2 linked regions of the Notamacropus eugenii genome follow. The protein of the gene in region 1 interacts with the protein of each later gene in a pairwise test. Links are inferred from orthologs where the notes say so. Each region holds a gene or a part of one and is shown on either strand. Other genes may lie near its edges.

The links.
Region 2: the proteins of ZCCHC10 (region 1) and DZIP3 interact in binary tests that used the Homo sapiens proteins (3 or more experiments, as listed by UniProt). The link is inferred for Notamacropus eugenii from reciprocal best matches to the Homo sapiens genes ZCCHC10 and DZIP3.

Annotation. Positions count from the first base shown.
Region 1 is NC_092872.1:345,603,535-345,614,080, reverse strand, and holds the start of ZCCHC10 (zinc finger CCHC domain-containing protein 10), read left to right. Parts: upstream 1-6,137; 5' UTR 6,138-6,207; intron 6,208-6,814; 5' UTR 6,815-6,861; coding exon 6,862-6,902; intron 6,903-10,546.
Region 2 is NC_092876.1:360,262,254-360,273,182, reverse strand, and holds the start of DZIP3 (E3 ubiquitin-protein ligase DZIP3), read left to right. Parts: upstream 1-6,919; 5' UTR 6,920-7,058; intron 7,059-10,929. UniProt on the Homo sapiens protein: E3 Ubiquitin ligase proteins mediate ubiquitination and subsequent proteasomal degradation of target proteins.

The sequences.
Region 1 (10,546 bases):
GAAGAGAGAGAGAGAGGGAAAGTTAGGTAGTTCAGTGAATAGAATGTTAGGCCTGGAATCAGGAAGACCTGAGTTCAAATATGGCCTCAGACACTTACTAGTTGAGTGACCCTGAGTAAGTCATTTAACTTCGATTTGCTTTAATCCACTGGAGAAGAAGATTACAAAGCACTCTAGTATCTTTACTCATGATCAATGTGATCCACAGGGTCATGAAGAGTCAGATATGACTGAATGACTAAACAACAATTATATATATCTATATATAGACATATAGATATGGATGTAGATAGATATACGCACATACATATACATATGAATGAATCTATACATTTTTCCATTTAACTGCATAGCATGGACTGTATAATAGACATTCTTCATTCAGCTGACTTTTCTTATATAGCCAATTAATCCAATTTTTTTTGAGTGATTATGGATCTCACTTAGTAGGCTCTATAATATTCCAAGGCATAATGCAATCAATACAATGTCATCTGAAAAGAGGAGCATCTCTTAGAACTCACTCCTTCACTTCGACTTCATACTGGATCTCCTTCATGACAGTTGTGAACACCTTTAAAAGCACTAAGGGCTTGATTCTTAAGGCCTCTAAAGGGAAGGGATGATGCTAATGATGTGGCAGTGAAAATCTCAGACTTTAGGTAACAAAGAAAACATTCCCACATGCTCACGTTCCCATTTATACATATAATAATAATATGCATTTGCTTCAAGGGCATCATTGATGAGAGCATTAATAATTCTTAGTCATTCAATAAATGAAAGAAATTTTAAGAAACAAAATAAATGGAATGTATTATATGGAAATAAAAGTTTTATATGACAAAAAGCAAGATGTCCAGAATGAAATGGAAACCAACAGAGACTGGGAAATAAAAACCTTTGCAAGACATATTTCTGATATGTTTGGTTCCCAGTAAGGAACTGACACAAATCTTTAAGAGTAAGAGCCATTCTTCAATATGAGAATGGTCAAAAGATATAATCAATCAGTATTCTAAAGAAGAATATATATATATGAAATTATTCAAACTAATTCTGGTTATTCAAATAACCAGAGAGATACAAAATTAAAACAACTCTGAGATGTCCTTTATCTCCCTTAAACTGATCAGAATATTTCTAAACTCTAAAATTCAAAGTAGAAAGGGAAGGGAACAAATACTAAGTGCTTACTATGTGCTAGGCATTGTGCTAAGCACTTCACTGATTTTATCTTAGTAGGCATAATATTATGCAATCTGTGGAGCTAGGAATTGTTGCAATCCTTTTGGAAAATAATACAGTAAGGAATTATGCTGTAAGAGTCGTGAAATCATTCATATCCACTCACATTTTCTGGGCTTGGCCTGACTCATTCCAGTCCCCTTGTAATTTAGCTTTGCTACTAGAACAAAATGAGACTGATAAATCAGTCAACAGTTAACAAAAAGATTTATTTAGTCTTAGCAAAGAGAAGAATATTCAGTAAGGATAGGCACTGACACTTTGAGTTTGTTCATCTTTCCCTGAGTTACCCTTTGCCATCCACCAGCCAAGCATAAGATTGACCTTGTCACTCCTTGTGGCCACTTTGTTGGTTGGTTGCCCTTCGTTCTTGAAGAGGATCAAAATGACGTTACTATATAGAAGTCAAGGTACAGTGTGTCCAACTGTGGCCAATCAGACCAATATGAGCTCAGAAGACTCTACCCCAAGTTGAGTACAAATAGCCCGTATGAACATCTGGAGTGAAGATGTCTTTACATTTGTGCATCTTATTTCTTTTGAACTATTGCAATTTTGCTTTGATCATAGAGAACAGTGCCTTCTTTGGTGTGGGCATACTATGGTAGGTAGTCATGTGCCTGTGTCTCCCATGGCTCACAATCAATTCCAAAATTCTTCAGAGAGATCTTTAAAGGGTCCTTGTGTTGCTTCTTCTGTCCACCATGTGAGCATTTGCCTTGTGTGGGTTCTCTGCAAAAACATAAGTTTGACATTTAAACAACATGGTCAGCCCACAAGAATTGTGCTCTCTGTAGCAGAGTTTGAATGCTTAGTAGTTCAGCTCAAGAAAAGACCTCAGTGTTCTGTACTTTATCTTGCGAGATGATCTTCAGAATCCTCCTAAGACTATTTAAATGGAAGGGATTCAATTTCCTGGCATGGTGCTGATAGATTGTCCAGGTTTCACAGGCATACAGCAATGGGGTCAGCATAACAGCTCTGTAGACCTTCAGTTTGGTAGGCAGTCTAAGACCTCTTTTCATCACCCTTGCCTTCAGAGCCTCCCATACACCGAGCTAGCTCTGGCAGTGCATGTGTCAACCTCATCACCTATCCCTGAAAATGCCAAGGTAAGTAAACTTATTCACAGCATTTAAAATTTCTCCATTTGCTATAACTGATGGTTCCATGTATAGATGGTGTGGTGCAGGCTGGTGGGGAACCTTGGTTTTCTTGGTGTTAATTGGTAGGCCAAAATTAACACAAACTGGTAAACCCTGTGGAGTTCATGTTTTTTATTTAGCAGTTTCTGAATTTCTCTATCATTTTCATCAAACCGTTCTTGATGTTTATGAGTGTTCTGGCCCAGATGAGTAAAACTGATTCTGTACACCAAATCTCTGAAAGCTGTTCACTCCTTTTCTGCTCCACTGTTACCAGCAATATGTTGGTTCAGCTTTCCCTCCAAGTTAGCAACAAATAGTTCACCAAAGTTTTCTAGTAGATATCTTGCCTTCAGCTGCCACTTTTGTTGAATGGGAATGTTCAGCTTGGAAATACACAAGAATGAGGCTTAAGCCAATGGCATTAGAGAAAGACATCCCCAGCTTCTACCCTAGAACCTTGAGAGGAGAGATACTTTGGGAGGAGTCCCAAGTATTGCTGTTCTTATAAGAAATACAGAATGAAAAAATTAGAACCAATGTATATATACTGACTATAGCTATGTAAAAGCAACAAACCTGGAGAAAAAGAAAAGGTTCACGGGAATAATAGGATGATATTGTCATTATATCGTAAACTTTCTAGACAAACTTTAGATGCCTTCATGTAAATCATTTTAAAGTCATTTGATTATTTGAATGTTACTGTTTCTTAATATTTACTAAATTTACAATTCTCTTTTAGCCATTTTTTAATTTTATTTTTAATGCTCATTTAAAAAAATTTTGAGTTCCAAATTCTCTCCCTCTCTGCCACCTCTTTCCCCATTAAAAAGGCAAGAAATGTGGTATCAACTATACATGTGAAATCATGTAAAACCTATTTCCATATTAGCCATGTTGCAAAAAAAAAAAGGCAAGAAAAAATAAAGTGAAAATATGATGCTTCAATCCACATTCAGACTCCATTAGTTCTTCCTCTGGAGGTGTATATCATTTTTCATCATAAGTCCTTCCAAATAGTCTTGGATCATTGTCTTGCTCAGAGTAGCCAAGTCATTCACAGTTCTTCATTGTACAATGTTGCTGTTACTGTGTAGCTTGTTCTCCTGGTTTTGTTCATTTTTCATTATCTCGTTTAAGTTTTCCCAGATTTTTTTCTAAAAATATCCTGCTTGTCATTTCTTATAGCACAATAATATTCCATCGCAAAACTATGCCACAACTTGTTCAGCCATTCCCCCATTGATGAGCATCCCCTCAATTTCCAATTCTTTGCCACCACTGAAAGAGCTGCTACAAATATTTTTGTACATTTAGTTCCTTTTCCTTTTCTTTTGATCTCTTTGGGATACGGATCTAATAGTGGTATTGCTGGGTTAAAGGGTATACATGTGAACTTACAATTTTCTAAAAAGAAATAGCAAGTGACAATGTTGAAGAAGCAAATGGGGGAAAAATTATGTTTTTATTTTCACCAACCTCTAACTGAAAAATAGCATTTCCTTGGATTGTAAATTTAAAAAAAAAACTATTCCAGGAGTCCACAGGCTTCATCAAAAGAAGTCAAAGAAGTCCAGGATAAAAAGCAAAACAAAAAATAGCCAAACAAAGGTAAAGAAACTCTATTGTTTCTCTGTAAAAGAATCTACAGGTCCCTTTGAAATCTTTGCTTGTTTTAAAAAGGATTAATTACACAGTTTTGCAACAAGTTTGTCAGTTATTGAGATTGCTTTTCATTTTCAACTGTACTTTCCTTTTCTGTTTCATTGTAAGCTCTGATGATCTTTGAAACATTTGATTCCCCAATAGCCGCTACAATGTTTCCAGTGGTCATGGAAACGAACTTTCTTTCTAAGAGTTACTCTTTTGTACATTTCCTTGGAGTAATATCTATTCTTTAAAACCACAGAATTAAAAACACAGCAAAAAAAAGAACAATGAAACACTAGTGTATCCAACAGTCAACTGATAAAGAAATAAGTAAAGGTTTTGGAAACCAGATCAATCTAGTTTCATCTGGTCAAGGTCATATATTCCGAGTCAGTCTGGTATCAGAGAAAGAATACAAGCATTACTAGTACTGTCAAAAAGTGAAACCATATCAAAATTCACTTACCACTGTTTATGTTTGTCTATACATATAGATGTATTCTGTACATGCCTGCATGTGTATAACTTATCTCCCCTTAGAATGTAAATTATTTGAATTCTGGGACAGCTTGCTTTTGTCTCTGAATACCAGCACTTAACCTTGTGCTTGACGCATAGCAAGGCTTAATAAATGCTTTCTAATGTAGAGGAAATGTACAAAACCTATGTGCTGTATTGGGAAAATATCTCCCCAGAAATACCCTTAGAGTTCAAAGAACATACTCTGAAGAGTTGTATAAAGACAGACCCTCATTCTGATTTCTTCTCAAAGGAAAGACTTCACTAACCATAGATCTTCAGTCTCATCTAGATTTTCCGATGATCTGATGAGATTAACTACAGGAAAACACCCCTACCTAAAACAAATCTGATTTGGGGCTACACCAAGGTTACTGAAAAATTAAGACATTACCTATACCTGTTGAGGTTTATGGATGCTCAGGATCCCCAAATACCGACATGCCAGGTCCTGTCCAAATGAGTTCAACTCAAGCCTTCTTTCAGCCAAAGAAAAACTAAGTTTAATATCTGCCATATTGGGTAGATTTAAGGAATCTGAGTATTTGTGACGCTTGTATTGATAAGCAAGTCTGACAGAATCTGGGTTAGATTGAATATGAGCGCCTTCATGGAGGCAAAATGCATCTTATATACAAAAAGATTGTGAGTGGAATCTAGGGTTGTCCAAGTAGTCTGGGGGAACTAGAGTAAGGATTTAGGGAGGGTTTTGAAGAAGAGTCTAAGGAGGAGCTTGATAGAACTGGGGTGACTAGAGGTCAGAATCAAGAGAATGGGATTTTGATAGGATCAAGGCTGGGAGGTAGCCAGAGACAATCTGGAGGTAACAGACAATGGAGGGCTAGCCTATGTTAAGGGTAACAGATTTGGGCATGAAAAGCCAGATCAAGTGGAAAGATTCAAGGAGAATTCAAGGGGGTTCCCAGAGTCTATACCCCATCACACCCAGAAACAAATTACCTAACTTCCTGTCCCTATTACTCAACCTCAGAAATAGGGAAAGTGACTGAGCAGCCTCACCTAATAGACTCCTTTTGCTACCTGCCCTAAAGTTGTGTAAAACTGTGTAAAGTTGTGTGTAAAAAAAATGTGTGTATCTTCCTCTATTCTTAGGAGTTGTTGGTCACTTGGCAACTACCCATCAGCTAATGCTAATTAAACTCTATCCTCTAACCTTGCCTCTAGATGTATTGACTTTCAGTCAAATGGATTTAGGTAGGAGAAATTATTCTCCAGGATGAATTTAGGATCCCTGGGCTAATACGTTTGATTTAAGGTTGGATTAGAGGCCATGATGGTGCATGTGAAAAACTTAAAAAACATCCTGGGATGCTTTCCTCTTTCTTTTTACCCCAGACACTGGAAAGAATTACAATTTTCGGTTCAAGTCATGGGGAGGGGAGTAGGGGAAGAGATATGTGGGGACATGCCCATTCTGTCTGGAGTTTAATAACTTACACTAATAATAGGATAAGTTGGAACGCTAGGAGTGTGGAGGGTGGAGAGGGCAACACACCCCAATAAGGGAGGAGCAGTGGTTACAAGATACACCCCATGGGAGGGAGGAGGAGAAATAGAAAGAGGGTAGAGAAGAGGAAGAAGGCAACACTGGACGCCCAACTGCCCCACCACTAGATTGTCGGTACGTAGCCTCGGTCTAGGAAGGCAGAGAAGAGGGATCAGAGAGAAGGGAAGGTTAAGTAGGATTGAGCTCCTCCCTTTTGCTACCAATTACGCGGTTTTTGGATTTGTGTGGAACTCCCCATCACTCTCGGAAGCCCGGGACACGCCCCTACAGAGGAGGGAGGGAGAGAAGACCGGCCAGGGGTGGAGGATGGACAGTGACAATGGAGTGAATAGAGCAGAGGGAGGGACATATAGGACACGCCCCCTGAGGGGAGGGAAAGAAGATAGGACACGCCCCTTGTCCCAGGAGCTCTGCCCCCTTCCCCTCCCTTCTGGGACCAAACTGACAGGTTTGAGTTTCCACTTCCAGAACCCATTAAGTGTCTTCCCAGTTTTCATTTCCCCCAAAGCACGGCAACGATGCCCAGGATTCTGGGTCTGGAAGCCAGGGTTGGCCGTCTGTCTCCCCAAGGAGGGCTCAGGCGGATAATATCCCCGGTGTCTACTTCAAGTCCTCCCAGGCCCCGGAGGAAGACTGCGTCCACCAATGCGAGGCCTGGCTGCCCCTCTAGCCACAGCTAGTCCCGTCTCTATGACGTCTAATGAGTTCTAGTTCCACCTAGGGGGAACTTCCCAGGATGCATCGCGGCGGTCCCCGGTTCTCGCTGACATGGCGACTCCCATGCATCGACTTATCGCTCGGAGGCAGGCGTAAGTGAGCACCCCCGGCGGCGTAGGGATTTTTCCATTCTATTTCCCGTAGCCAACCTAACTTTCTTTGAGGACCCTCAACGGCCCTGGGAAGTGGGGTTCCCTCTCTTGGGGGGGCATTGAATGGGGTGAGCCAAGGGGGTGGAAAGGGAGACAACCTAGATGTTGTGGGCCCCGGGAAGAGGGAGAGTGGCCTACGTCGGAGAGCCCCCGGTAGGCAGCTTGGGGAGGTGGAGCGCGGGAGGCCTCCCTTTAGCAAGGGAAGGAACGTCCGAGTTTTTCCAGATAAGAGTGACGTGAGCAGATCTTCGGTGGTTACTGAAACAAATGTCTTTGTACACCCCTGTCAACACTACTGTTGGCTCCAGTCCGCGGCTTTACAACTTGTCATTATTTTCTTTTCATCTTCTCTCACTTTATAGAGGATGATGGAAAAAAATCCCTAATTTAGAGCTTTTTTAAAGCAGGGAAAATTACATGAGGAATGTGCTTGTTAGCTTCAGTTGCCCTATTTATGATTCACAAAGCAAATGTACTATTGAGGATTCTAATATTTAACAGTAGGTAAAGGATAAGGGCTCACGAAGAGTCGAACACGACTGAAAATCGACTAAACAGCAACAAAGGATGTGATCGTGGGAAATAAATATCAGTTCGGTAAACCCAGAAAAAATAATTTGTAGATCCTTGGAGTCTCATTCTAAAAGAATAGAACTTGAAGAAGCTGTAAGATTCTTAAAAAGTTAGTATCGCTTTTTAAAAACAAATATGAGTATTCTGATCATTATGTAAATTGTAGACTTAGGAAGTTTTATTATTATTATACACATAAATCTTGTATGAAAGAAGTAAACATAACTATTTTCCTTTATCATATTTTGACAAATGTAAATAGTCTCATTAAATTTATTTTGGGGAGCTTTTTGTTTTTTGTTTTTCATTGTGTAAGTACGACAAAATATGCGCAAGTATAAAGTTGTACCTGTTGAATAAGTGGGCAGAAAGTTTACAAATAACACTTATTTGGAATTGAAATAAGTTAAAATGTAGTCATACTTTATTTACTGTCACTGTACTTCCAGAACTTGAATTGGAACTTTAACTTGAAAAAATACTCCTCTTTTTTGTATTTAAAGGACGCATTATAAGTCATAAAGGTCAAGTCAACAAGCATTTATTAAGGGAAGGGTTAAGAAATCCTGAATGGTAACACTATTTTTTGGGGGGGTTGGTTTGTTTTCAGTTCTGTCTGACTCTTCCTGACCCCACTTGAAGTTTTCTTGGCAAAGATCCTGGAGTGGTTTGTCATTTTCTTCTCCACTTTATTTTACAGATGAGGATTGAGGCAAACAGGGTTAAGTGACATGCCATGTTAAGTGTCACACAGCTAGTGAGGTTGAATTTGAACTCAGGAAGATGAGTCATCTTGACTCCAAGCCCAATGCTCTATCCATTGCACCCCTAGCTGCCATAAACCTTAGTCTTTTCAGGACTATCATTCCTAAAACTAGGATATTATTCAGTGTTCTTTTAGCTCATATTGTTCTAGCTCACACAGGCTCACACTATATTATCACAGTTACTTGAAAAGAAGCTCAAAATTTCCAATAACATGATATAGGGCAGGCAACAGTAGGGACCAGCTTGGGCCCTAATCTTGGCTACCACCAAACCTATTCCAACTTCAGCTTAAATATAGAAAAATTTTTCTGGCTTTTTTAGGGTTAGCTTCTAGACTCAAACCAAGTTTGTTGGGCCGTGTAATTAAACTGTTATATGCTAAGTTCAATTTTATATACTATAACGTGAAGGACAAAAAAAAAATACAGGGTATAGTCCTTATTCTTTAGGTATTTACCATATCAAAAATTTTTAAGCAAATAATATGTATTAATAATTAGTAATATATTATCAGATGTTTGTGTAGTTCAGATATGCACTCTAGGAATTCAGGAAATTAAAAGATTTAGCTAGTATAAAAACATTGGGCTCTCAACTGAGCTTTGGGTGAGAAATGGAATTTAGATTGGTAGAGATGGGAAGGTAAGCCATACAGGAACAACAGTTTGAATAAATGAAAACACATGTGAACTTGGCTTGTATGGGAACCAGTAATTGGATTAGCCTGATAAGAATGATGGGAAATGGAGTTTTCTAAGTTAAATGGGTTCCACTGTTAAAGGCTGTTTCAGAGGAAGAAGGGATGAAATTTTAGAAAACTGTATGAAAACTCCAAAACTTAAAAATTTACTCATTTTGATAGCTGGATAGATCAATAGATCTCATTTATGTTGGTATTCCCTTCACCAGTGCAGATTGCATACCTTCTTTTCCTAAATAATTCTTTCCTGTACTTTAATACTTCAGTGAATTTGTATTCTGCTTGATGCGGGTAACCCTCCAGAATGCAGATCATAACTGTTAATGCCCTCTCATTATGTGTAACTCTTATCCATGTCATCCCACAAATCTTCTATAGGAGTTCCATGAAATGTTTAGGGGCTTTCCCTTAAATCTCCTGTTGATTCATGGATACCAATGCCGTACATCAGTCATCCATCCCTTGCTCTCTTGACATGACTTGCCCATCTTTTCTTTCTAATGGCTTCTTTTAAAGATCCTCATCCATGTCTTCCACAGGTGTTCTTTTGAGGGTCTGCCTAATGTAATGAAAGCTTTTTTCTAGATCTTTTAATATTTCATGAATATCATTATAGTGCATAGTGTCCGTTATTTCTCACTCTCCCAACATTAGTAGCTTTATTCCTTCTAAATCATACATTTACTTGATAATCTTTCATGACATTTTTGTGTGCAAGTCATCATTGGCAATATCCTACTATCTATTTCAGAAAAATCTTTTTCAATTAAATATTTATTAATGCCAGCAACATGAAAGGGATTATTCTTAGTATCAGATATTTTAAAAAAACAGCCCTTACCTTCATGGAGCTTACCTTCTTCTGGAGGAAGATACAAGATAATTTGATAAGGGAAAGGCATAAACAGCTGGGGGAGTCAGGGAATATTTTACTGATGAGGTGCCATCTGAGATAAATCTTGAAGGAAGACAAAGATTCTGAGAAGTGGAGATAAGGGAGTGACTTTCCAAAGAGTGGAATATGTTTTTTACAATATACCTGGTCAGAAAATGGAACATCAAGTTCAGGGAAGTCTAATTTGGCTAAAACATAGGTTGTGAAGAGGAGTAATGTTGAAAGTATGAAAAAGTAATTTGGAGAAAGGTTGTAGTAAGGCTTAAATGCCAGGCTGAGAAATTTTTATTTTGAAGGCAGGGAGGAGTGTTTTTGAGCAGGAGAATGACATGGTCAGAATTATGCCTTAGATTATTTTGACAGTTGTGTGAAGATTGGATGGAAGAGAGTAAAGATTGGAGGAAGGGACACCAATTAGTATGCTACAATAGTCCTTATCAGAGGGCTTGAACTAGTTTGGTGGCTGTATGAGTGAAGATAAGGGAGTAGATAAGAGAGGTACTGTTGAGGTATCAACTGATTGAATGAGAGGAATGAGAATGAGGAAAGGATGAGACCATGGTCATAAAACTGGGTGTCTGGGAGGACAGTGCCCTGAATAGAAATGGAATTTGTCAGAGGGAAGAGATTTCCTGTTAGGTAGGGCAT
Region 2 (10,929 bases), on another chromosome or scaffold:
AATAACACATAAAGAAAGATGATATAGTAATATGTTCAGAAATTATTCCCCACAATTAAGCTGGTCCAACATTAGGAAATTATAAGCATAATTATGTTAATAATAAAAATAATTTTAAATAATACAATTGTATATACTAAGGACCTATGATTTTGTCAGTGAGGATCTCTTTTAATCAGTTGCACAGGTTACAATCTATGTATAACTTATACTCTAAGTCGTACAGTCTTAAACAATTTCCTAAGACACAAAGTGGGTAAATAACGTTCATAGTCACAGGTCTTCCTGACTCTGGGTCCAACATACTGTCTATTATGACATATTATCTGTATTGATTCTATCAATAAATGCAAAAAAAGTTTTAGATGGATTTCAGACTCACTTATATTAAGAAAATGCTGAAATAAAAGAATCTTTACTTAATATGATCAAGAGTATTTATCTAGAACCAAGAGCTATCATTATTTGTAACGGAAAACAATGGAGGTGAGGATGCCCACTCTATCTGAAATTTTCTGACATAGCTCTAACAATAAGACAAAAAAAGAGAAATTGAGAGAATAAGCACTGGAAAAAATAAAGGAAACACTTCTCTTTGAAATTGTGTAATGATTTACTTGAAGAACCCTACAGAATAAAAAAATTAATCATGATAATCAGAATAATTAATCAATTATTGAGTAAAGTAGAAAGAAAAAAAATCTACAAAAATCTTTGGCTTTTCTTTATATTAATAACAAAAGCCAGGAAGAAGAAATTCTATTTAAGAAAACAACAGATACATTAAATAGCTGAAAATTAACCTTCCCTACCAAGAACTAACATAACTGCAGCTATAACAAAATTTTATAGGAATAAGGGAACTAAGTAATTGCAGAGATAGTGTTTATGACTGTGCTAACATATTAAAAATAATGCCACTGCCCAAATTATTCTACAGATTTAATGCTATACAAATCAAATTACTGAAGACATACTTAAAAATTCAACAAGAAAGAAAATTCCCTTCTTAGAAGATGAAAATATAATTTTTAAATGAGGGAATGCATGAAGCTATTAGATGTCAAGCTATTCTGCAAAACAGTAATTATAAAATATGTATTATAAATACACATTATATTATACATTATATTACTATTGCATTATAAAAGTATATATGTATAAAATATATGATATGTAAAACACATAAATATAAAATTATTAGTATACAAAATAGTAATTATAAAAAAACTTTATGCTATTGGTTAAAAAACAGAAAAGTGAGCCAGTGGAATATACAACTTAAGCATATTAGAAGAAGATCAGGACACAACTATGAATTGCTTTTCCTCCAGTCCAGTTGATATAATCACCAAAGATAAAAGGAAGTAGGCAGAAAAAATAAGATGTCAGTCTTACAGGACCAGATGTAAACATGTTTTCTATAAAACTGAAGGAATTAGAAAGCAGATAGCCAGATACCACCCTGAAGGTGCCCAGTCTCTCATGATCTTAGAAGCTAAGCAAGACTGAACCTAGTTAGTATCAATCAGTTAGCCCTTAAATATTTATTAAGCACTTACTATGTGCCAAGAACTGTGCTAAACACTAGTGTAGACACAAGTGGGAAACAGTATGGCTAGCTAGAGAATCTACCTGGGAGATACTGACTGTGTCACCCTGGGCAAATAATTATACCTTTCAGTGTTCTAGGCAACTTTTTAAGACTATGAATTGCAGAGAAGATGCTCACCTGTATTGGTAGAGGGTGGTCCTTATAGTAATGGAATCACAGGTGGTTTGTATTCCTATCAGAGCTATCAGCTAGCCAGGGATCAATCACACTCCCAGTGACCCTTTAAAAATTGAGACAAATGAGGCAACTAGGTGATGCAGTGCAGAGAGCATCAGTTCTGGTGTTAGAAGGACTTGAGTTCAGAAGGGACCTCAGACATTTACTAGGTGTGTCACTCTGGGCAATTCATTTAACCCTGATTACTCTAAAAAAATTGAGACACACTAAGAAGAGAATTGAAACAAGAGAAATCTCCAAGGAATATGATTTCTGGCAGGATAGAAAAGAATCAGTCATGAAGATGTTTCTTGCCTCAGAGAAAGGAGAAGGGATTTCTCCTATCTTCTTTGACAATAGTATCTTCTAGTGGATTTCTCTTACCCCATAGGAGATACTGCATCTATCAGGAAGGAGTGCTGAGAGTCAGTGCAGAAGACAGCTCTGAGATATGTGACTTCATTCATTTTAGAAGAGAGATAGTCCTGACCTTTGGGGGTTGAGTTTTGAAGAGGCACAGACTCTGACTGAGGTACTTTCTCAGCAAAGATGGTGTGCCCAGGGAAGCATCATGATGATATGAGAAAGAAAAGACCTTGAGGCCCAGACAGTCAACAAATAAAGAGAAGGCAGCTGTGGCACAGTGCACAAAGAACTGATAACAAAGACCTTGATTCAAGTCCTGTTTCTGACCCTGGGTAAGTCACAGCTTTTCAACATTCCAGGTAACTGTCTAATATGGTAACTATCAGAGTCAGGAAAGTTCTATACTAGTATGAGAGCTTTCTCAAAGGAGTTCCCTTGAACCAATGACATCACAGGTGCAGAAAAAAAATCAATCCAAGGATATAACCTAGAGTGGATACTAATTAATGTTATCTAAAATAACGAGTGAGTCAAAGAACAAATCATAGAAACCATAAATAATTACATTAGCTAAAATTATAAAAAATGAGAAATATGGAAAACAGTTTGGAGTTATGCCAGAAAAATTTCTTTCTTTTAGAGAATGGGTTCTTATCCCAGGGTCTGTGGATAGATACCCATGAATTTGGATGGGGAAAAATTACTTCTTTAGTTTACTAATCTTTGACTTCATTTTAAAAAAAACATTATGCCAAAAAGTGACCCATAGGCTTCAACAAATGGCCAAAGGAGGTTATTAGGGTAAGAATTCCTGCTTTAGAGAGTTTTTATGTATTGTTATATGTCTTGTGATACAACCAACTTTGTTTCTGAGTCCATTTTTTATGCTTATTCCCTGTCTGTTTTTTCTTAGGGTGTTTTCACTTTTTTTTCCAATTCATAACATATATCATGTTAGAGTTTTCCTGTTTGCTCATTTCTTTGACTGATCCTTTTCCTTTTCTGAAAAGTTGGCTTTTTCCTCTCTTTTTTGGGAGCTCCATTTTACTTTTCAGGGGCATTTCTTCATCTCTTCTTTTAGAGGTTATTGAGGCAATAAACTCCTTTATGATTCCTGACTGACTTTTTGTTGGAAGTGTTCCAAGTTGCAGATTTCCAACTTAAATTTGTAGCGAGTCAGAGTTTATCTTTTTAATATATTATAAATACATGCCAAGTAGCTAGTCATATTCAATCTAAAAGATAGTTGAGCAAAAAGGAAATTTGAATAATAGCCTTCAAAGGATTACAAAGCTAATTGAAAGGAGTCTTACAAATACAAGTCAAGGGAATGGTAACTAGGAACCAGAGTGTAAAAGATGAATTCAGGATTAGACTAGATAGAATCAGATGGAATTTAACAGGAACAAATAATTAAATCTTACACTAGTTCAAAAAGTCATCTTGATGTGTTACAAGATGGAGGGAGGTATAGAGAGAGAACAGTTCTTCATTTCAAAAAACATCTAGGGGTTTTAGAAAACTTTGGACTCAGTAATATCTCAACAGTGTGATATGCCAACCAAGAAAGGCAATTATATTTTTTAAGTGGCATTAGAGTACAGTAATTAAGAATTGATAGACTCACTGTATTCTGCTTTGGGAGGATCATTTGTATTGTGTTCTGTTCTGGCTGCCCCATTTTGAGGATTGATCAAAGGACCATCGATGATTAACTTGAGGTTAACGGGATAAAACCATTGTTTGAGATTTTGATTATGTGCTGAAAGACTGCAGCTCTCGGATAGGTTTGAACATGCCTAAAGAGTTATTAAGTCTCTCTATACTTCATGTCTTCATGGATTGAATAGATGTGAAGAACTTTGTTAGCATCTCCCTATGGAAGACCTGGGTATATGCAATGATACCTTATTGAGATAACTGAGGACATTTAGTTAATAGATATTGAGAGTAATCCACTTATACCTCATTGAGCATCAGTGATTGAGTTTCAGCGTTAGGAGTAATTTGATTGGCTCAGGCTACTGCAGATTAGAGTCTATTAAATCTAAATTTCCTAAAATTTTATTAAGGGATTTAACTTTTTTCTTTTTTAAAAATAGGTCTGAAAGTTGAGATCTTCCAGTCTTTTACTATTTATATCTCCCTGTAACTTACTTAGCCTTTCATTTAAATATATAGATGAAATGTTATTCAGTACATATATATTAAGTATTGAAATGAATTGTCTATGGTAACTTTAAGCATATATAGTTTCCCTGTTTATTTTTAGTCAAATCAATTTTTATGTTGTCCTGTCAGAGATTGCTTCAAATGAAGCATGAAATTTTGTTCCATTCCCTTATATTAACTCCTTATGAATCTTTATGATTCCAGTGTATCTCTTGAAAACAACATATTATTAGATTCTACTTTCTAATTCATTTTGATATCCTCTTCTGTTTTATGGATGAGTTCATTACATTCACATTCAAAGTTATGATAGTTGTATATTTCCTTCCATTCTATCATTTTATAATTTTTTCATTCTTTTCTTTCTGCCACCTTTTACAAAGAAGCGAGCAGTGAGGGAGAACGATTGTGCATAGACCAGTACTCTATGCTTTTGTGCTCCTGTCTCTTTTTCTCAGTCTGCTTGACCAGATCTCAATCATATCTCTTCTTTCTTTCCATTTAAACTCTTCTTGATATCTCTTCTTGAGGTTAGAGTTTGTTTTGCTTATAAATAATTCTTTCCAACAACTACTCTCTCACTCTCATTATCCTCACCCCACTCCTCCTCATTCCTTGTTTCCCTGTTGTGTTGAATGTATTTCTACACCAAACTCTTCCCTGGTGTATTACTTTTTCTGTTCCTTTACTTATTTTTCTTTTAAGATCATTAAAACACAACACCACTCCCGTATTTCCTTCATAGTTCTCACTTCTTTTCCAATACTTTCCTCTCACACACTTACTTTATAAGATCATTTTAAAACTCTAAAAAAAAACAAAAACAAAAAACCCCAACCTTTGTTTCATTTCTTCCAGCAATTCCAGTTGCCTTTGTGGCCAAACTATGTTTTTCTATGAGACCTTGCCTGTAGGCATTTTGGAGTAATTTTCCTCTTCCTGCTTTAGTTTGCTGTTCCTGGCATGATGCATCTTTTTTAGTGAGAGTCTTTTTTTTCTTTACTCATTCTTCTAACCTTACTTCCCAGATTGGAACTTTGTATTAAAACCAGTCTCTCCATAGTTTTGGAGGGAATGCTGGAACCGTGTTTGGCCATTTTTTTTTTGTTGTTCTCTGGGGTCCTACTACTTCTATCCTTAGATAATGAATGTATTCTTTAAGGCTCCCAGGGGGACATACAAATTTTCAGTGTGCTCTAAGTTATCTCATCTAGTGTAAAGTCTGGTCAGTACCCATCTGGTCTGAGCTTTACAAGTTCCTGATCATGGTTTGAGTCGGGGCAGCAAAATCATAGGTTTGCCTCTGGTTGGACCTCTAGTATACTGCTGCTACACCTAGGCTCCATCAGCTAGTTGCGTAACTGCAGATTCAAAGAGACAGCACTTCAGTGTCCTCTTTAGTCTGAACTCCCTGCCTTTTGATACTCAGCTTAAAGCCTTAGGCACCTGCTTCAGCTACTTTCAAGGCTATTGGAACAAATTGTTCTTGTCCATCCATTCCAGTGGGGGAAGACTTCACATGCTTGGAATAGACAAGCCCCTAACTCACTGACAGATTTGAGGCCTGTCAGTTACCCTCAACCTGGTTTAGCCTGTCTGCTGAGATGGTTTACTGGTTTACTGGAGTGTGGCTACACATGCTACAACTTCTTGGAGCCACAGGTGAGAACTGAGTGCCAGGTAGACACCAAAGGTGGATGAGCTGCCCTTGAAAAGGTCCACAAATTCCTTACACCAGGGGTGCTAATCCTCCTTGAAAACCTCATACACCCATGGGATGGGGAGCAGGTATGAATAAAAGATAAGTTTCAGCTGAAGACAAAATCTAAAAGCAGAGAGGCATTCCATAAATTATTGCCAGAAATCTACACATGCAGGGCGATTATCAGTGATCTACAGAGACTTCATGCTCTGCAAGGTCAGTAAGAGGTAGGCCTGTCAGAACAGTGATGAAATCAGCATTATATAAATTCTTACTATTAATGTTATTATTTTTATTGTTATTAACAGTGACCTTTCATTAATGTATAAGTTGTGAGTTGCCCTTCCATTCCAGAGCACCAGGCATGGCCCTATGTGTGACTCTCCACATGTGGTACCTTTGTTGTGTTCACTCTTTACATTAGTAGTGTCTATATCTAAAGAAGAGTAGATCCCAGATTTATAGGGAAATGTATTGCTTTTCTTACTTTACTGTTTCATAAAATACCTTTGATTTGAATTAAATGTGTCTTCTTGTTGACTAGTAAAGGTGAGACTATCAGGAAGAGCATTTTGTGAACTCCCATTTGGAGTGGCTTTGAAATCACCAAGTATCTTGAAATTGGTGTAACCTTGTCTGGTGGAATCCATTCTGAGAGTAGGGTTTGGTGGTGGTGCCCCCAGGCGTTACAGATAAAATCAACTCAGTGCAGTTTACTGTGGCCAGGTAGGTAAAGGTGTATGCAGATTCTGTTTTTAAAAAACAAACAACAGCTACAAAAAACTACCAAGGGACTTTAGGCTGCCCTCAGATGACACATTTGTAACAAGCCTGAATGTGAGAGCACAGGTTGCTGGGAAGGGGCGGGTCCCTCAAGTTCCAGGAAGGAGGGCTCAGTTAATAAGACCAAATGAGTTGGTTTCAGTTTCATACTAGCTGGAAAACTTTGTCCCTGCCGGTGTGACCACAGCAGAGAAGCCCAGATTCACCCACCTCTTGTCCCTACCTAAGAATTTTAAAGACCTTCTCTCATTCTATCCTAGGACGGTAAGCACGTTTTGTGATTTTAAGTGAACCCTGTTAAAATATTTGTCTAATTAATTCCTGCCAGTTACTAGGAACACAACCCCCATGCGGCGGCTGCTACTGCTGCCAAACACTTCTGGTCCTAATTCTGGGCTTCTGAAGCTGTGACAGATCTGTATTCTGTAGTGAATGATAGAAAAGGGGGCTTGGGGAGGAATGGAGTTTCCCCTAGAGCCCTTTTCACTGGATATCTATTTAAGCAGCCTAAAAAAAATACACCCATACTAATCTTAATCCCTCGTTCAATCATTGCACAGCCTACTTTATTTAGTACGTTCATTCATTTTCCTACCCTTTTAAAATTCAGTCCAATACTTTGAGTATATGGGGGGAGGGGAGGAGGCGATTAGGGGTAACCTCTATTTCCTACTATAGTTTGGAAACTGCCTTTTTTTTTGAAGACACTGATTCTCGCCTTGTAAACACCCTCCCCCCCCTCCAATATTTCCTCAATATTCCTTCCTTCTGTTTACAACTTGCTGGGGCCTGTCATGAATAGCAGCAGACTGAGAGCTTTAAAAGGGGAAAGCTTTAACCTACACTTAAAAAATTTTAGGAAATGAGCTAGCTGCTTTTTTGCATATTGAAGCCATAATACTTGTCCCTGGTCAGCAATTGATTAATGAGTGAGTCTAACAGCACTGCAGGGACTCTGGTTCTTAATGTCGTTTGGGAAATCCAAGGGAATGGCAATAAGTCTCAAGGAAAACATTTTCATCACATGATCATGATTAATCCTTAGGGCTTGTGTCCGTGCCTTACCTGACTTCATGAATGAGTTAAAACACAGAGAACAAGTTCATCCCTCCTCCCCAACCTCACATAGACTTTCTGCCTACACCCAGAAATAAAGGCAGGGGAAAACCCTGCAAACTTGCTTTACACACACACACACACACACACACACACACGCACGCACACACATGCACACACGCACACACGAAATTCTAAATGGGTAAGTGATGAAAGCAAGAAGTATTTCAGTCTGGGGTGAAGAGGAAGATGGGAGTTCTTTGAAGACTTTCAGTTTCAAATAGGTAGGACACCTGCAGAAAAGTGTGCTTGGGGGTGGGGGTAGGGCAGGAAAAGAGAGATTGGCAGATGACATTACACTGCCTGAGAATTCGCCAGTCCTGCAGATTTCAGTATGTGATACCGAACAGGTATAAAGTCAAATATTCAGACTTTTCCAGGAGGCAAACTTTACTGTATGCACAGATTAGTAATGAATCCCTACATCCAGTAGGGATGCTTTGCTTATGCATTCATTTGTGAAAAATGGTCCCCACAGCAATACAGAACTTCATGCCAGTGTAGTTCTTTCTTTCATGTGTTCCTCCCACAATGCCAGCACACTGTTTGGTGACTGCAGATGTCTTGAGTTCAGGCCTCACAGTTACCATTTGTACATTATTTCAGGGACAAGTCAAAGATGCAGAATAGTTACAGATCAGCAGTGAGTGACGGGGTGTTCTCATTGGGAAATGAGATAGTCCTAACTCCCTCTCCCCTAGACTTGAGAGTAAGACCACCATGTTTAATATTATTTACATGAAAAAAAAAAGTTTTCAGAGTTCCAGACAGTTGATTAATAAATCAACCTTTGTTCTGGAACACAACTTTATAAATTGATTATTCATGTACCTAAGTACCTTGCAGGCAAAACTTACAAGAAGTTCTGCAGGTATAACTTGAAGACAGATGCTATCTCACAACTTTAAGAGAACATGGAACCTTTCTGAAGTAAAAAATCTGTCTGGCCTCAATGGTAGAACCTGGAAATAATAAACCAGTCTGCCCTCTTGACATCTAGGCACCCTGGGACAAGTGTTTAGTTGTTTTTTCCTGTCTGTGAGCCCAGTGAGAGTTTTCTTGGCAGAGATACTGGACTGCTTTGCCATTCCCTTCTCTAGCTCATTTTACAGATGAGGAAACTGAGTTAAGCAGGTTTAAGTGACTTGCCTAAAAGTTCCATAGTTAGTAAGTATTTGAATCTGGATTTCAACTCAGGTCTTCTGGCACTAGTGCTCTATTTACTTCACCACCAACTTATGCCTTCTAACTACTTTTCTTCACCCCTAAGACCTTCCCTACTGTGCCACTTTTCCCTGGGTAGGACAGGTAGGGGAGGTACTGTGACAGAAATTAGTGTATATACAGGTAACTTGCCTTGAGTGCAAGGAATTTAGTGGATCTTGGGCTAGAAGGCACTCATCTTGTAGGTGAGTAGAAGCAGGCTTGAGAGTGAGACCATCATATTTAATATTGTCTACATGAGAAAAACACTTTTCAGAGTTCCAAACAGTTGACTTGTCAATCAATTCTTTGCATTCATTGCCGTTAGCAGATAATAAAAAAATTAATGCTACTTATGCCATTCAAGGAAAAGAGATACTTTATGCTCTGCTTTCTTTTTTATCTTAATTACTTTACTACACATTTCTTACTATCCTGCTGGCAATAAAAATTTTGAACCACAGACTTATTGTTCGGTTCCATATAGGCTACCATCTCTTCAACTTCATAGTGTCATACTCTTTAAAAAAAAAAAAAAACTTGTTAAAAAAAGATTTAAATTAAGTTCATTGGATTAGGGATCCCAGAGACCATATCATTTTACAAATAACTTGCCTAAGGTCACACAGATAGGATTTGAACCCAGGTCTTCTTAATTAGGAATGAGTGTTTTCTTCATTATACTTATGCTGCTGCCTAAAAAGCAACAAAACGAAACAAAACACAATTTTTAACAGAAGCATTGAAAGTTAACATGAGTATCATTTCATGTTCAATGATCCCAGAGTTCCTAGTCCATTGAATTGATGATATAGGTCATTCAGATATGTTGTATGACCTTGGGCAAAACAGATACTTCATCCCCTGGTCTGTTTCCTCATATGTAAAAAATGGGACATTTTTTGGGAACATGGCTAATAGAGAAATTTACTTTGAATGTTTATACATATTTGTAATGGGTTTTATATTTCTTGTCTTCTCAGTGAGTGGGAGTGGATTTGGAACTTCATTTTAAGTCTCAACTAAAATTCCTTCTTTCCTGGAATCCTTCTCCATTCCCTCTTTAATTTTGATGCCTTCCTTCTTTTGTTTCCCATTTATCTTGTGTGTAGTGTGCTTTACAAACATTTGCTTGTTGCGCCCCCCTTTAGATTGTAAGCTCCTTGAAGGCAGGGCCTATCTTTTGCCTCTTTTTGTATTTCCAGCACATAGTAGGTGCTTAATAAATATTGATTGATTGGAATTAAAAATAAAATAAAATTGTCTTTAAAAAAATAAGAAGTGGAATTAGATAATCTGTGATGTCTTTTCCAGTCCCAAATTCTGTGATTTTGACTTAGAAACTACTTTGTGGACGATGGAAAAGAATGTGGCACAAAAGATCAGAATCTGTTGCTCTTAGAAAACACAACTTTTGTTTTTTCACCATGTCTTTGGGGAACTGGAGAATGACTCAGAGCAATTCATCAAATCTGAGTTGCTGGGGGATGGTAACTAAGTGCATGTTGTCAGATGTGTCAGAGCATGCTCTATTTGGACCTCTCCCAGTGACAGAGTGGTTGTATGTGGTTTGTTTGGGTGACTGGTTGTTAGGGAGATAAAATTTCCTCCTTACTGTCAGATCTGTCACCAGGCGAGTCATTACAGTGCTCCTTTCAAAGTCACCAAATGAAAGCTCTTTTTAGGTTTTTGTCTTAACAAGTGGAACTCAGGGGTTCTTCTCACATGTGGGGACTCCCTTAGCTCCTTACATCATCTGGGTGAGCATCCACCCCAGCTAGATCTCCACAAACCCAATGGACATATTGATACTCAT